Daphnia pulex: one gene and its partner. The protein of the gene in region 1 interacts with the protein of each later gene in a pairwise test. Links are inferred from orthologs where the notes say so. Each region holds a gene or a part of one and is shown in the gene's direction. Other genes may lie near its edges. The genes, in order: atypical protein kinase C-like and partitioning defective 6 homolog gamma-like.

Evidence for each region.
Region 2: the proteins of atypical protein kinase C-like (region 1) and partitioning defective 6 homolog gamma-like interact in a two-hybrid assay, tested with the Drosophila melanogaster proteins (2 studies listed by BioGRID). The link is inferred for Daphnia pulex from reciprocal best matches to the Drosophila melanogaster genes aPKC and par-6.

What each region holds. Positions count from the first base shown.
Region 1 is NC_060022.1:4,026,451-4,030,805, forward strand, and holds the start of atypical protein kinase C-like, read left to right. Parts: upstream 1-1,532; 5' UTR 1,533-1,780; coding exon 1,781-1,851; intron 1,852-1,912; coding exon 1,913-2,034; intron 2,035-2,092; coding exon 2,093-2,182; intron 2,183-2,242; coding exon 2,243-2,379; intron 2,380-2,441; coding exon 2,442-2,814; intron 2,815-2,874; coding exon 2,875-3,047; intron 3,048-3,112; coding exon 3,113-3,528; intron 3,529-3,616; coding exon 3,617-3,735; intron 3,736-3,920; coding exon 3,921-4,090; intron 4,091-4,168; coding exon 4,169-4,284; intron 4,285-4,353; coding exon 4,354-4,355. Other genes in the region: F-actin-capping protein subunit beta-like, read right to left, coding at 99-338, 412-784, 848-1,059, 1,182-1,184. UniProt on the Drosophila melanogaster protein: Serine/threonine protein kinase which is required for apico-basal cell polarity in the germ line as well as in epithelial and neural precursor cells, for epithelial planar cell polarity and for cell proliferation.
Region 2 is NC_060019.1:10,154,353-10,158,392, reverse strand, and holds partitioning defective 6 homolog gamma-like, read left to right. Parts: upstream 1-1,625; 5' UTR 1,626-1,898; intron 1,899-2,069; 5' UTR 2,070-2,105; coding exon 2,106-2,177; intron 2,178-2,238; coding exon 2,239-2,362; intron 2,363-2,429; coding exon 2,430-2,656; intron 2,657-2,862; coding exon 2,863-3,026; intron 3,027-3,095; coding exon 3,096-3,477; 3' UTR 3,478-3,505; downstream 3,506-4,040. Other genes in the region: Bloom syndrome protein homolog, read right to left, coding at 1-198, 269-361, 421-647, 718-897, 959-1,074, 1,132-1,181; protein DEK-like, read right to left, coding at 3,955-3,972, 4,029-4,040.

The sequences.
Region 1 (4,355 bases):
CTTGATTGGGTAATGGATGTTATACTTTACAGGAGGGGAAAAACTTGGTTGAATAAGGGAAATAATAGGAAAATGCAATTTATAATATTATGTATCAGTTAAGGATCGCTTTTTCCTTGTCTTTTCTGCAAAGCATTAGCCAGATCTTCGCTGAAAGCCTGCTTTTGCTTTTGATCGGCCAAAGGCTGAATGGAACGCAGCCCGTTGACAATATCCTTAGTCTTACCGAAGTAAATTTCATTCAAAGTGTGCCTAATTTTGTTCTCCATATCTTCGACAAGACGACCCATGTTTACGATGTGCGACGTAGGCTCGCTTACTGTTCCGTCTTGCTCCATCTAACACGAGAGAAAAAATCGGTTCAATTTAAGGGAAATATCTCATGGTCATAAAAGTAAACAATAATATTACCTGACGCGTTAAGCTTCCACCAAGGTTCATCGTTCCGGAACCGGGACGACTGGTCTGCAGCCATAGCATGACTGTCGACGTAAGCTTATAGTGAGCCGAACGGCCGGTAGACTTTTCTTGCACTTCAATGACATGAATCGAATCCCAGCACCCTTTAATATTTCGAGCGCCATCACCAGCTCGTTTTATAAGAATGACTCCAGCAAATCCATGATCCAGGTCCCATAGGTACACAGAGGAGACTCCACCCTCAAAATACATCTGACGGTATTGATCAAATGCAGCATTGGCCTCTACTTCCAATCTACGTAGCCTGTCCGTGGGCAGTGTTCCATCTTCAAGAGGTGGTTCATAGGTGTTGCTCCATGGAGAACTGACAGATCAACATTTGTTATTATTAGGGTCAAGTTTTCAACACAACTGTAAATACTGTTACCGATAAGAATCTCCATCACGGTTATAATCACAGAGAAGATAATCTTTTCCTTCTCTCTTATCACGTGCAATTTTAAGTGGTTGATCCACTGATGATAGAAGATCCTCACACAGTTCAGGAACTAGGTCAATCAGGTCACTCAGGTTTTTTTCAATTTGCTGAGGAGGGAGACGTCGCATTAAGTCCAACGCTCGGTTCAATTGCTCCTCCGTCTGCAGAAACAAATAACAAGAGAAATATTATTAGACAAGTCAAATGTCAAATAAAATTTTCACTCTGAAATTGGAGGTTTAATACTAGCCGAAAATATGAATAAATTCGATTTTTAACTTACCATTGTTCAAAATGGACAGAAACGACAAACTTTTGAGATAATAAAATGGAACTGAAAAGGATTTCCGGCCTTTTTTCCCAGGAAAAACCAAAAAATGGGCGAGGTGAAAAATGAGTGGCGGTGACAAACAGAAATGTATGTTCTGAATCCGAAGTTGCGCTAAGCAATGAAAATCTCTGCCTGCTGGGAAATAAAAAAACGGTTGCGGATTCGAATTAGAATTCGAGATAAATCCACATATTAAATGACGGAAGTGTTGTTGGTCATTAAATAATAGCTGAGAATATTTAAAAAACAATTACAAAAACGATTTTTCTTTAAAATCAATCAAGTTTTGATCAATCTCGGAGAACGCCTCCTGGCGGCTGCATAGAAGGTTAATCCTCGAAACGTCAGTTTTGCCAGTATTAACCGCCTGACTCATATTTTTAGGTTAAAACTAAAAGTGTTTTCTGTTAGAAGTTTAAAGAAGTTATAGTGGAATCGTGGTTCACAATCAGTGATAGCCTCAAATGGTTACAATAGTCCGGCTGCCGTGAGGACTTGTTTGTAATTTTGAGGAAACGGCCAATTTGTGCCCAACCCACCTGTTGTTTTAAATGACGATGCCCACCACCCTCGTGAGTGATGGGGAAAAGGCCGAAATCAAAGTCAAGGCAGCTTTCAGCGGGTATACTTCATGTTTTTTTTTTCAATCTTTGTATGTACTTACCTCATTAGTTATTTTGCAGGAAAATTCTCGTGACTTACATAAACTCTGAGATCCTGTTGGATGATCTCCAAAATGAGATGCGAGCCATTTGCCAGTTTTCTCCTGATCAAGAGTTTACCATGAAATGGATTGACGAAGAAGGTTGTACAACACATACAATCCACACAGTTTTCTTTTACTATGATTTACATCCCTTTAGGTGATCCATGTACTATCTCTTCACAAGTTGAAATTGATGAAGCTATTCGTCTGTATGAAGTGAACAACGATTCAGAAATCACTATTCATGGTATTTTTTAATTCTACTTGTGTATAAACTTGAAATTTAATTACTCTTTTTAAAATTCAGTTTTCCCTAGTGTCCCTGTGTCACCAGGGCTTCCATGTTTTGGAGAAGATAAAAGTATTTATCGACGTGGTGCTCGTAGATGGCGGAAACTGTACAGAGTCAATGGACATCTTTTCCAGGCAAAACGTTTCAATCGCGTAAGTTTATCCATGCAACACCATTGATTCCCAGTAATCCTTACTTTCCATTTTTATGACAGAGAGCTTCTTGCGCTTACTGTCACGACCGTATCTGGGGTCTAGGTCGGCAAGGATTCAAATGCATTCAGTGCAAGCTGCTCATCCACAAAAAGTGCCACAAGCTTATCAAGATCAGTTGCAACACGGAGCAAGTGGCCGCTCTGAACACTCCATCCCAGGTTCATCTACTGTCAAATAGCGCGCTCAATACCAGTTCAGGGTCCGCAGTGACCGCTGCTGCTATTCCATCTATAAGCCCTGTTGTTAATGCCGGAGAACCCCCGACAGCGCTGCGACAGAATGGTGATGGTACCGAAGCACCGTCCGCACCGCCAATAGTACAACCTATTTTTGAGTCTCACAGTGTGAGTGTTCCGGTTGATGGAAGTCCAGGTACTTTATATTTCCATACAAAACAATTCAGATTTTTAATTGTATACTTTAAAATATTAGAAGAAGGTGTCGAAGGTGGTGCTGTTCAACGTCCGTATTCGATGGCGGATTTTGAATTGATTCGTGTGATTGGTCGTGGTTCTTATGCTAAAGTGTTGATGGTTGAATTACGACGAACTCGTCGGGTTTACGCCATGAAAGTAATCAAAAAGGAACTTGTTACCGATGATGAGGTATAAGAAAATTGATTCTTTGATTTTATCAACAACTTCTTCTAATTGAACAACTCGACTTTCAGGATATTGACTGGGTTCAAACGGAAAAACATGTCTTTGAGACGGCATCCAACCATCCTTTCTTGGTTGGCTTGCATTCGTGTTTCCAGACGACGTCACGCCTTTTCTTTGTCATCGAATTCGTACGTGGTGGTGATTTAATGTTCCACATGCAGCGCCAAAGGCGACTTCCTGAGGAGCACGCTCGATTCTATTCGGCTGAAATTTCTTTGGCGCTCAATTTCCTACACGAGAAAGGAATTATTTACCGTGATCTGAAGCTAGATAACGTCCTACTGGACCATGAAGGTCATATCAAACTCACCGACTACGGAATGTGCAAAGAGGGCATCCGTCCGGGTGATACCACGTCTACCTTTTGTGGTACGCCCAACTATATCGCTCCTGAAATTCTGCGCGGAGAAGACTACAGTTTCAGGTAATGTTTACAAATTAAACCCAATAGAATCTGGAACGCTAACTCCCCTGTAGCGAAAATGTCTAACCTTTTTCTTCGTTTTTATCAGTGTGGATTGGTGGGCGCTGGGTGTATTGTTGTATGAAATGTTGGCCGGTCGTTCACCTTTCGACATCGTCGGCGCTTCAGAGAATCCTGACCAAAACACTGAAGATTATCTGTTTCACGGTAGAGCTTCATCTTGTCTTCTTTATTATAATATTTGCTTTGTGGAAACTCGCGAGTCCATTTGATAAAGTTCGCAAGAAAAACGGGGTCTTATCAAGATCGCGTGACCTTTTTCCACTTGAGAGGATTGTAAATGTGTTGTTTGTAAAACATTGTGTGTTTTTTCTTTTCTTTTCATATTGCAGTCATCCTGGAAAAGACGATTCGCATTCCCAGGTCGTTATCTGTGAAGGCTTCTTCTGTCCTCAAAGGGTTTCTTAATAAGAATCCAGCTGATCGTTTGGGTTGTCGAAAAGAAACGGGCTTTGTCGATATCGTCCATCATCCATTCTTTAAATCAGTCGACTGGGAAATGGTATGAACATCTCTCTCTTTTACACGTTTAATCCACATTCTAGGAACAGATTACTAATCTTTTTTCATACGTGCACAGTTGGAGAAGAAACAAGTGGCTCCACCTTACGTGCCTCGTCTAGATTCCGACCGTGATCTGGCTCACTTTCCACCCGAGTTCACAGACGAACCAGTCCAACTGACACCCGACGATCAGTAAGTGATGGATCGTCTGTCGATTAAGAATCGATTTTTATTTTTGTTTTATTTTTTGTTGCTTTGCAGGA
Region 2 (4,040 bases), on another chromosome or scaffold:
TGATGTTGATGGTTTGGAATTAGAAGAAGGAACTTGGGCATTTTGAAGACTACGCCTAAATTTCACGAGTTGATTTAAGAGAGTAACGGCCATGTCATTTGATATAGAACTTTCAGACAGAGGGTATAAAGCATCCAAGAGGTTGACAATTTTCGTATCTACTTCTCGTCTTAATGCGTCCGAAACATTGGAGACATCCTGTAACGAACGACGAAGATTCGATAATTTTGCTGTCAAATTTCTCGTTGACTAGAAATAATGAGTTTACCTGTTCTTTGGCAGTTTCAAACCAATCTTCTGTATCCAACACAATTCGTAGTTGGCTTTCGATAACTTCAACCGATTGTTCAAGATCAGTAGTCTATTTCAAAATATTCTGTAAAATAAATGACACGAACTGACGTGAAAGCTAATTCATACCTCATGATCCGAATTTTTGTTATAATTATCTTTATAATCATCTTCAAGATGGCTAACATCAATAGCGTCATCAAAATTGAAATCTTCGTCTTCAAACAAATCTTTGCTCATGTCTTCGACTTTATTTGATGTTTTCTTGCTGATATTATCCTTGGCTGATTTTAAATTGCTTGATGTTCTAGGTTTAACTACAGGCGAAGTGCTGAGTACACTATTATAAGCATGATCTTTTGTTTCATAAAAAAAAGTTTAGTTTTATGGTTTTTTAGTATTGGAGCAAATGAAATACTGGATTACCGCACGAATCATCCACATCATTATCTTCATCCTTATCATTAAAGTCTCCCCAGAATTTTCCATCAAGGTTTCCTATACTAAAATCTGCTTTTTTAGTTATTAAACTTTTCCCTTTATCTCGATTGGGCTCTTTTTTGAAAGGCACTTGAATTGCTTCCTTGGCTGAAGAGGATTTAGACTCTAAATGATAAAGTAGTAAATATAACATAAAAGATAGACAAGTGACAAAATACTTTGATACCAATGGGGGTGGAATCTTGATCAAAATCATCATGTGATTTAATGTCACAGACATCTGAATGTTTCTTGTTTGTTTTTGACAAACTTTGAGATGTAATTGTAGAGGTATTGTTGATGCTATTTAAGAGTTCATGATTACATTTTTATTCACAAATACAATTGAAATTAACTAACCTTGAATTGAGTTTGAGTTTGTTAGCACGAGGAAGAAGGTATTTTTCCATCTGGCTAGAAAATCTCTTAAATCCTGATACAAGTACAATGTAGCTAGTGAATTTTTCTCACTTCGCTGTCCACGTAGGATTCCACGTAGCTTTTCAAGATTTCATACGTTTAACACAATTTGAAGGGAGTTCACAAAAGTGTATGGAACTATCATTGTAAACTCTAAACTGGTTGAGGGTCAATTTTGGTTACGAATGTAATCGAGTAAAGAATAATTCCCACTTTTATGCAAAAGAAATTGTAATCGAATTATTGAAATATGTCTATTTGGTATCTTTAGTTCTAGTTGTCTAATGTCTACCAAGTTAGGTTAACCTTCATCACGCTGAAAAACTTGAACAAGAAGCTGTAGCAGACGATTTCCCGCTTACATACATTTAAATGTTGCCAACTTGTTGCAATATACTAGTAAACTAATAAAATATCAAAACCACTTAGCACTTATAGAATGAGAATTTCATCCATTCACTTTCCTATTTTAAAATACCTTTAAAATAAAAATATTTAACTTATAATTTATGAAAACAGTAAAATTCGAGATTTTTCCATTCTATCCTCTAGAGGGCTGCACCAATTCGTAACCGTCCTCAATAACTGTCATGTCTGTCAATTTTCATTGTATGGTGCCTACCAAGGAAACGTGAAAATTGCTCATTCATTTTATAACATTCAAATGAGTTAAATCGTTTTTCTCCATTCCATCAGTGACGATCCAGGTAATCGGAATTCTCAAGATCCCTTTCCATCTTGTAGTGGATATAGAATGTGAACAACCGATGATTTCACGCAATTGTCGGTGTTGGAGGTGTAACCGGATGCTTACTGGGGCGTGGATATTCATAAAGAACTATGAATCTATTGAAACGTTTTGTTTGTTTTCTACATAGGATACTTATTCACTGTTAAATTTGGCCCAAACGCAGATGTCAAAGCTAGTGAAACTTCAGATGTCTCCACCAAGAACAAACTCAAACTTTGTGGAAGTGAAAAGCAAAGTAAAGTTTCATTTTCTGTCATGACCAAAGATTATTCATATTAAAATTCTTTTAATTCTAGTTTGTGGCTGAATTTAGAAGATTCAGTCTAAACAAAAAAGTATTACCAAAGTATGAAGATTTCAGAAAGTTGCTTGAACAACTACATGGCTTACAAATTGAACCATTCTATATAAGTTATACAGGTTTGTAATTTCATCATATACTACTTATTCAAAGACTGATTTGTAATTTGTCTCATTCATCATACAGACCCCAATGATGGGGATTTATTGCCCATCAACAATGATGACAACTTTGCTAGAGCTTTGCAGGCAGCACGTCCTTTGTTGAGAATCCACATACAGAGAAGAGGAGAATCACAGGATGATGAATTACATCAACACTATGCTTCTAAAAAGAATTTAATATCATCAATATTAGGAACACCCAAAACTAGGCCACACATTAGCATATCGTATCCAAAGGAATTTCGACAAGTTGGTTTGATTATTCCATCTGTTTATTTTCATTAATTAAGTAGATTTGTAATTAGCTTAAACGCCTTGTTTTCTTGCTTGAACTTGCGTAATCTTAGTTGTTGGCGTTATGTCTCCAGTTGTTGTTTCCTAGTCTCCTTTCTTGTTGTTGCATCTTGCTTCATGCTTGGTTGGGCATTAAACTGAATTATTCACTGTTAAAACAGGTTTCAGCTATTATTGATGTAGATGTAGTGCCCGATTCCTGCCGTCGAGTTAGGCTGCTCAAACATGGATCTGAAAGACCTCTTGGATTTTATATTCGAGACGGTACCTCGGTACGTGTCACACCTAATGGCCTAGAAAAAGTCCCCGGAATTTTTATATCAAGGTATGATTATACTTTATATCTATATATATCTTTATTATGTTGTGATTGACAGACCGTGATTTTTGACAGATTGGTTCCTGGCGGATTGGCCGAATCTACTGGTCTCTTGGCGGTCAATGACGAAGTGCTGGAAGTGAACGGTATTGAAGTCGCCGGAAAATCACTAGATCAAGTAACCGACATGATGGTGGCTAATAGTGCAAACTTGATCATCACCGTCAAACCGGCCAATCAACGAGGTGTTTTGACGCTGTCAAGAACCTCACACAATGACACGATGACGTCGTATTCGACCATCGCGTCAATGGTTCACTCTCATTCTGACGAGGACCATGAAGAAGACGAAACCGACGACTTAGATGAGATAAAGGATCTTACTATGCAGACCAGTGCTAGCAGCGGCAGCGATAGGACCAGCCACGCGAAAGATGATGGCATCCTTCACTTATAACATTATGATTTAAGTTCACAAATATCCATATATGAAAATGAAAACGTTCCCTTTTGAGTCCTTATTTTTAAAAAATGAAAGTGTATAAAAAAAAACAATTTGTCTTCTTTTTGCCTGAATGTTCGCAAACCACATCGGTCAATGCGTGCGTTTATATCCCGTCCACCCCTCCCCCTAGGTTTATAGTTAAGAAAAAAAAAACATGTGTGCCTTTTCAACACTTACCGGCCTTTCAATGGTAATTAGTAAAATGACTAATCGATGAGTCTCGATCTACACGATTCATCGGCACAAATACAACGTTAAAAAAAACTTGTCTCCAGTTCAAATTGTATTATCAATATGCACCACCGTGCTTCAAGAAAGTGGAGAGAACAAACTAAAAACATTAAGAAATTATTCTTTACTCACTTCGAAAATATACTCGTATAAAATGACAGCTTGTTTCTTTATAAATGAAGTATTTTTGAAGCGCCCTTATTCACTGCCAAGAATCTGCAAACCATTTAAAAATTTAAAACGGAACTATTGCACAACAATGACATTATTACCTCCTTAGCTTT